2 linked regions of the Ovis aries genome follow. The protein of the gene in region 2 binds, or shares a complex with, the protein of the main gene of each other region. Links are inferred from orthologs where the notes say so. Each region holds a gene or a part of one and is shown on either strand. Other genes may lie near its edges. The genes, in order: ING5 and MEAF6.

Region 1 (4,539 bases), about 12 Mb from region 2:
AGCTGGCGCGCTCCGGCGGCCCCCGCGGAGGGCACACAGAGGGCTGGCAGGTGCCTGGCGCCGCGCACCAGGGAGCATGGAAGACAAACCAACCAGCAGAGCAGTGAGAGACGCCGAGAGGAAGTCAGGCCAAGCAGGCCACATGCGCACAGCAGGCGGCCAGCTACCGACACAGGGGCCCTGACGGACACGACATCAGGACAGTGTGAACTCTGGCCCACAACACCCAGGAGATGGCGGGAAGGAGCTGTGTGCACATGAGCTGGCTGGGCGCAACCAAAGACGTCAGTCTTCACTTTCTGAAATAACTGAACAGCTAAAGTCTAAAACCAAAAGGAAATAAAGAAATGCAGCAAAAACGAGGTGCTCAGAAATAAGGAGTTAACACCAAAAGACCCAAAAGCAGGGTGTAAACTACACACAGAGTGTGAAAAGGGAAAATCTTTTAAAGAGAAGCTAACAAATACTTTAACTGCAAGGAGGGGATGAGGGTCATAAAGACGAAACGCAGGAGCACCAGGCACTCAGTTTGATTGCACAGACTTGGCACTCTGAGACGTCACCCCATGCCCGCAGCACCTCTGCCCCAGGTACCTGGAAGCGCAGCACCACCCCCAGGGTCCTGCCTTGGGGAGCTGCTCTCCCCACCCTGGCTGCACTGAAAGGCCTGCACCCACCTTCTGTCCTCTGGTCCAGCTCTCGCATCAGCTGGAAGTTCCTCTGAAGCTCACAGGGAAGGTTCTCGATACCTGAAACAGACACAGCAGGACAAAAGCTCACCTTTCCAGCCTCACAGCTCAAGGCCACAAGGGGTAAGCCCACTCTAGCTTCTGTTTGCTAGGGTTTGGAAACAAGAAGAATCAGGGTATCTTTTCCCAGCGACGTGCTCTAAACACTGAACACACCCTGGTACAAGCTGACGTGTTTGAGCACTTGTCAGAAACTCAAGAAGTTAGATTCAAACAGAGGACAGAGGGTGCCCATGCGCCTCTCCCACCCCAGACCCCAGGCCACTCCTCCCTTGCAGACACCCCGTCACAGCGAACCAGCCCAAACCCCAGGGTCCTCCTCCAACTCTACTCTGAACTTGGGGCATGGGGAAGTACCAACCGGGGCTGTGTGGGGGAACGTGATGCAAAGATGGAGCTGCCCAACACAGAGGCACTGGCCACGTGTTCTGGGCTACTTGAGCACCTGAAATGGGGCCAGTACCACAGACGGACTGAGTTTCCCATTTTATGAGAGTTTATTTAAAATTAAACAGACCAGGAAGGACAGCACAGGGAGGACCCTGCACCACACTGGTCTCCTGTCCCCACTGCCAGGCTCCTGGTCTGGGCCAAGCCCGGCCCCTGCCTGCAGCCAGGATGGGCCCCTCTCATCAAACAAAGCTGGTGCTTAAGCCCCATGGCGCCCTGGCTCAGCAGACACCGAGCGGACCCCTCAGAGCCTCTCTGTGGGACCCCGCCCCCCCGGGGTTCCTACTGCAGCAGTACCCCTGCACTCTGAGACATGCTAGACTCCTTCATGACCTTTAAACTCCTGTGTCCCATCTGAGAGCATGTCCCAGGAAAATTCCTGGTGCACAGCAGGTGCTTAGGGAGTGAGCAGGGGCTTCTGTCCCCAAGCCTTCACACGGGTGCCCGCAAAGGCCAGGATCATATTCCTCGGACTCTCCTCCTGGGCCCCACCAGGCAAGCACCAGGAAAGAGGACAAGCCACAGTGCCCCCCCTACAGGCACCTGGGTGCTCTCCCACCCAGGACCTGTGCTCAGGCTGGGCCAGGACTAGGTGATCCCCTGCGGATCACCACAGTCTTCCCCAGAGCAGAGGTTCAATCCCTACTCTCAACACCCTCAGGTGAGGGTCTGGGGGCTGTGATCCCCAGTACAGCACAGTGCTCTAGAGCCACGGGGCCCAACACCCACCAGCCCCACCCTCCCCAGGCCATGCCCCAGCGGAGGCCAGACAGGAGTCAGGACGAAGGACTCCCACGCGGGATCGCCGCTCTCCAGCAAGAGACCTTAACAAGCTACCTGGCTTCTGCAGGCGGCATCACCTGCTCTGTGAAATGTGGAGGAAAAAAGCCACCCGCTCAGGAGTTCTGCAGAGAGGGCAACATGTGCAATGCGTCGGGACATCTGGCCACGACGATGACCCCTGCCTTGAACACCCTAACCCCGGCCAGTAAGTAGCGCCCCCAGCCCCTGGGCTCGGACCGGTACCCTCAGTGACCCTCTGCGCCTGCATGCCTCGCAAATGCATGAAATGAGGCCTGGAACTGAGGCACAAGCTAAGTCACATCACAAGCAGGCACAGAACACCGAACTCCGAGGCCCTGGGCCCCCCAAACCCGACCCAGAGTCCCAGGCGATTGGGACTCAACCATCTTGGTGGGCCAGTCCCGCCCCCAAGGCGGGGCGGGGCTCGGAGGGGCGGGGCCTGACCAGAGGGGGCGGGTCCGACAGGGAAGAGAGCGGAGCCCAGCCGATAAGGGGCGGGGCCCCGCCCAGGAGGCCGTGTTCAAGGGCGGGGAGGGCGGGGCCTGCAGGAAGGTGGGCGTGGTCGCCTGGAAGGCGGCGCCGGCCGCGCGGGCCCCGCCCCTTGGCGCCGGCCCCGCCCCGCCGTGACGCACCTGGAATTGGCGCGGCCGTGCCGGCGGGGCCCGCGCCGCCCGCCCCGCGCCCCTCCCTCGCCGCCCCGCCCGCCCCGCGCGCCCCCGCCGCCCCCGCCGCCGCCCGGCCACCCCGCCGCCCCCGCGTGCCCCGGGGCCCGCGCGCGGAGCCCGGCGCTCGGGGAAGCGCGGCAGGGGCGGCGGGGCGCGGGCGGCGGGCTGGGGCGGCGCGCGGGGCGCTTACTGTCCAGGTAGTGCTCCAAGTACATGGCGGTCGCCATCTTCGTCCGCGGCCGCGCTCCGGGTCTGCGCGGGCGGCGGCGCCGCGAGGGCCGGGGGCGGGGCCGGCTAGTCACTATTAATGAGCCGCGCGCGCTGATTGGGCGCCGGCCGGGCGGGGCCCCCGCCTCGGCTTCCGGCCGGGCCGCGCGCGACCTCGCGCGGGGGCTGGGCGGGCTGGGCGGCCCTGGCGGGCGGGCGGGCCTGGTGCTCGGCCGGGGGGCCTGGTGCTCGGCCGGGGGGCCCGGGAGCGCGCCTAGCGCCTGGGGGGGGGCGACTTCCGGGGCGGGGGCCGGCGTGCTAAACCCCAGGCAGACATGTAAAAGGGGGAACGCGTTCACTGTTTTGCCAGCTTTACCTGCGTTATACAAACTCAGGCTGTACGGAGATGTACAGCTCCCCCACTCCCGGAGGCGCGGGCCTGCGATCGTCTTGCTCACCCTTCGATCCAAGTGATACCAATGTCTGTGCAACCACCCCCGCTCCATTTAATGCTTGGTGTGAGAATCACGCACACTCCAGTGCACTGTTGCACACCACCCCTGTTTTATTGTTTCGAGTAGATAAGTGTTCTTATTAATAGAATTTATTTTTAGAGCAGTTTTTGGCTCTCAGAAAAATTGACAAAAAAAATACAAGAGTTCTTATATACCCCTTCCACGCATACACAGTTTTCCTTATGAACATTTTCCATGGCTGGTGCACATTTATTACAATAGATGAAACAGTATTGATACATTATTATTAAGGTTTCCCTGCTAGCTCTGGTAAAGAACCCACCTGCCAACGCAGAAGACCCGCTTCGATCCCTGGGCCGAGAAGATCCCCTGCAGAAGGAAACGGCAACTCACTCCAGTATTCTTGCCATGGGATGACCCATGGACCAGAGGAGGCTGGCGGGTTCCACTACGTAGGGTCACAAAGGAGTCGGACGCAACTTAGCGACTAAACGACAAAAGGAAGTCACGTTCACATTAGGGTTCATTCTGTGCTGTGCATTTATGTCAAGCGGCACCCATTGCAGTATCAAGCGTAATAGTTGCTCTGCCCTAAGAATCAGCTGCTTCTGCCCTCTCCCTCCGGGGGAGCCCCTGGCGAACGCTAACCCCGCCCCTGCCTCCAGTTCTGCCTTCCTCAGAATGCCATGTGGTTGAAGTCAAAGAATGTGAGCCCCTTCAGATTAGCTTCTTCCACCTAGTAGGTGCATTCCAAGTCTCCTCCATTCCTTTTCCTGGCCGGACAGCGTTTTTTTTAATTCATCTGACTGCGTCAAGCATCGCAGCCCTCAGAGTCTTCACTGCATCACGTGGGGTCTGTCCTTGGGCGGCACAGACTCTGGTTGTGTCTCTTGGGCTCGGTAGTTGCAGGAAGCAGACTTTGTTGTTCCACAGCAGGTGGGATCTTAGTTCCCTGACCAGGGGTTGAACCCAGATCCCTTGTATTGCAAGGCAGATTGTCAACCATTGGACCAAAAGGGAAGTCCTGCTCATCTCTTCTTAACACTGATAAACATTTCATTGTCTGTACCGCAGATTACTCTTCACCAATTGCTTGCGCCCACGTCCTGTCAATTAGGGATAAAGCTCCTATAATCATACACGTCAGGTTTCTGGGCGCACACACTTCACTTCCTTTGGATAAATACC
Region 2 (3,804 bases):
AACTTTCAGTCTAACTTTGATCAGAAACTAAAGAAGTAGACTGTACCTACTTAATGAAAACTTCATAAACTACCTAGAATTCTAGAGCTTGGTATAGTAGTAAAAACCTGTCAGAGCAGCTATAGGTTGTAATTTCAACTTTCTTCTTTAAACACACTGGGATTTACTGTTCTGATATCATGTAAAGCATAAGAATTTAGAATCCTGTGATCAATTTATGAATGCTAAAGATTATTTGATAGATTTTCATTTTCTTGAAAAGATCAAATAAAAGTTATTTCTTTTGCTAAGGTACCTATTTATTTCCACTTAGTTTACTCATCACTAAACAATGCCTTGCACATGGTGGGTATTCATACCTTTATTGAAATAATTTACCATTGACTTTTATCTGATGATATGGAGTGTGAAACACTGGAGGAGAAACAATACTGTACTGGAGCAAAATCACAAACATGTGTAGACAAAGTGTTCCCCCTACCCCCACCCCCCCAGTCTGCAGGACCAACTAAGACACTGGTCAGGGATGAGGGGTTTGGGCCAGACACAATTCCACACTAAAGATGGCAGGAATCTGAGAAAGTGTGCTAAACGTGTTTTCTCCAGAAAGAAGGGAAATCAATTCCATTCTCTTCCCTTGGGGCAGATGAGTCGTCCCTAAGGCCCACAGAGAAATCCAGCCAGATACTAAACCAGGGGGATGACAAAAGGATTCTGCTTTCCAAACAAAAAGCCCCCCTGTGAAGGCAATAACTACCACCAAAGATCTTTTTAAATCCTAGTATTTTTCTGGAAGGAGTTAGCTTCTAAGGCCAGGAGAAGAAAGGCAGGAAAAGCTGTTCCTATGGAAATCTACTAGCAATCTGTAAGGAGAAAGTTAAGTTCAATGTCTAATTCCTTTTCATCAGCTGTTTGTATCATTAAGGAAAATAAGGTATAACCTGAAATACACAACAGCTACAGAGAGTCTGTCATACCAGGAATGGAAAAAAAAAAATGTCCCAGAAACTTTCAAGGAATTTATCCCCCCCTCTAGATACTCTGGAATAGGAAAATAAATTATTATATTTAAAATTACCCTGGAGTAAACTTTAAAAAAGCAACACAGAGCATAACCTTTTTATCTTGACAATTAAAAAAAATACTTTAAAGAGTATGGTTCTCTGCTATTCATGATAAACTGGCATCAGTCTTATCATAGTAATCAAATAACCTGTAGCCTTACTTAAGCAAAAAAAAGGGGAGACAAAGAGATGCAATTTTTGCTCTCTCTTACTATGCTTATAAGACTGGCCTGGTGATTTTTGGTTTGCAGAAAAATATTAAGTTGCAGTCCTCAGTCACTCTCTGGAGTATATACTGCTCCTGCATCTAAAAACCACCACCACCAATGACAAGAAAAACTCTTAAAAGAATTAAAGAATCAGTTGATGCCAAGGAGGCTTAAACCTGTTACCAGTTAATTCTATATTATCCCTGCTTGCCACATCCATCAAGCTAACAACTGTAATGCCCTGGGTGCAAGAGGGCATGTTCTACAGGAGAGCACAGCCCAGAGGCAAACTGAAAGACAGGGGACCCCACCCATTCCTTGCACACCCCCTTCCATCTCCTCAGCATGCAGGCTCCTAAGAGGAGCAGGACAAAAGCCAGCCTGTTGGATGTCTGGTTTTCATACCTCCCAGAAGGTTTGAGGCCAGGACAAGATTCCTTCCTGGAAAAACTAAGAATTTCCCTCTCTGAGTGCAACTGGACGGCTTTAAATTACCTAAGCTAAGAGGCCCCGGCACTATCATACAAACCCTAAGCAGAGTGAACGCTGAAATCCTGTCTGGGTAACACCTAACCTCTCTGTCCACTGTGTGTTTCCTAGCTCATTAGGCACTACAAAAAAACACAGTGAACAAACATTATCTAGGAAGGTGCTCTTGTAAATTACAGCCTTTATATTGTTCCTCTGACACTCAAATCAGCAATTTGTGAAGATATATAGAGAAATCATAAGCAATCACAAACCTTGTATTCAAAAAGTAAAAAGGCACATCAGCTCATTCTCTCCATTCTCCAGGGAATAAGGGTAGGCAGGGATCAGGACTAGGAGGCAAAAGGCTTAGCCCATTCTGCAGCTTCCCAACAGGTTTCCCAGGTGGCGCTAGTGGTAAAGAACCTGTCTACCAATGCAGGAGACATAAGAGACACAGGTTCAAGCCCTGGGTCAGGAAGATCCCCTGGAGGAGGAAATGGCATCCCACTCCAGTATTCTCGCCTGGAGCATTCCATGGACAGAGCAGCCTGGCAGGCTACAGTCCATGGGGTTGCAAAGAGTTGGACACGACTGAGTGACTTTCACTTTTCACACTGGAAGCAGTAAGCAGGATGTCTGCCCCCACAGTTACTCTAATGCCCAGCAACTCCTTCCTTAGAGAAAAACTAGCCTGCTTCATTCAGACCAAATGAGTTTCTTCCCATCAGCAACAGAAAGACCACACCAATCCTGAAGAACGTTTATTCCAGTACAGACCCTTCACGGCCATGGTCAGTGGAAGCTCTAAGTGGCTGGGGACAGGGCAGACGTGCAGGGCTTGGGGAAGTGTGGTCCCTGCCACTGACCTGTGCCGGTTTTTATTCTTTCGCTTTTTATGGCTGCTGTGATGACTCCCTGTGGAGGTAGAAGAAGCAGCCTTCTGAGGTTTCACTCCCTGCACAGATCCATCCAGATCCTCGGGGTCCTCCTGGTTGGGCTCGTTTTCCTGATTGTGGAAGTCTGGAGAAGTGTCACTTTCCGTCCCACTTCCTGGCTCCCCTGGAGTGAGGAAACACAAGGCCCCAAAGCATCATCAGTACTCCTCAGGCAGTCTGTCCATCAGTCTGGAAAAGAATTTTCAAGCACTGAAACACACGGTACTACCCTCAAGGACCACATATTCCAGCTGACAGGAAGACACATCTAGTCAAAGCATCAAAGTTACCAGAGTGCTGAAAACCTTGTAATCTGAAACAGTGTAACCAGAGGCGACAGGTCTAAGGACAGCCGAGAGACTGGACCACACAAGACAGCCTTGCTACTGCAGGGGCTATTGAAACACAGAATACACTAATGGGATTAACAGTTACACAAGAAGCATTATCAAAAACATTATATAAGTCTTCAGGAGGTGAGAGATGACCTTGGGAAAAGATCCTACAGCTGGCTCTGGTTCCTTGCCAAACTACACAGGAATCTTGACTTTCCATCAAGAAAAAGGGCCAAGGAAGAGAAGAGCTCCACCACCTAAGTTACTCTGAGAAGCCTTAAGAATATTATTTTAAAAGTGGTAATAATACCTTTCAGTTGACACATATTCCAGATTTTAAAATATCCCTCAGATACATTAAATAAGTAAATTTAACAAGAATTTGTATAAATAGATGTTTTTAAGAAAAACTACACATAGTTTGGTAAAGGTACACTTTTTCTTCCTGAAAGGAATTCTCTGAAACTCTTAATATAAAAGGATGGGGGAGGAGAAGACTATCACTTTACTGAACTGATGAAGAATCCCAAATATGTGTACATTACCTGTTTCTAAAAATTTTCAAAAGGAGTTAGGTGAACAGCAGAACCAAGGATTAACTTTCTTCCTGTTATGTCTTTGTAATATAAACTTCTAGGAAGAGATTTCAAATTGAGTAGCACAAGGATATTAGAGCTGAAACAAAGAGGTAGTCCCCAAAAGAGCAGAAAGGAGAAAATAGAAGCAGTTCTCAGCAGTGACAGATCCCTGCCTTTGAACACTTTATGACAACAGAAGAGGGAGCTCTAAC

Evidence for each region.
Region 1: MEAF6 (region 2) and ING5 share a complex: the UniProt entries of both Homo sapiens proteins name them as parts of the HBO1 complex. The link is inferred for Ovis aries from reciprocal best matches to the Homo sapiens genes MEAF6 and ING5.

The regions. Positions count from the first base shown.
Region 1 is NC_056054.1:252,112-256,650, forward strand, and holds the start of ING5 (inhibitor of growth protein 5), read right to left. Parts: upstream 2,925-4,539; 5' UTR 2,896-2,924; coding exon 2,859-2,895; intron 2,606-2,858; exon of another isoform or gene 2,037-2,605; intron 750-2,036; coding exon 678-749; intron 1-677. UniProt on the Homo sapiens protein: Component of the HBO1 complex, which specifically mediates acetylation of histone H3 at 'Lys-14' (H3K14ac) and, to a lower extent, acetylation of histone H4. Component of the MOZ/MORF complex which has a histone H3 acetyltransferase activity.
Region 2 is NC_056054.1:12,324,016-12,327,819, forward strand, and holds part of MEAF6 (chromatin modification-related protein MEAF6), read right to left. Parts: intron 2,804-3,804; coding exon 2,469-2,803; 3' UTR 1-2,468.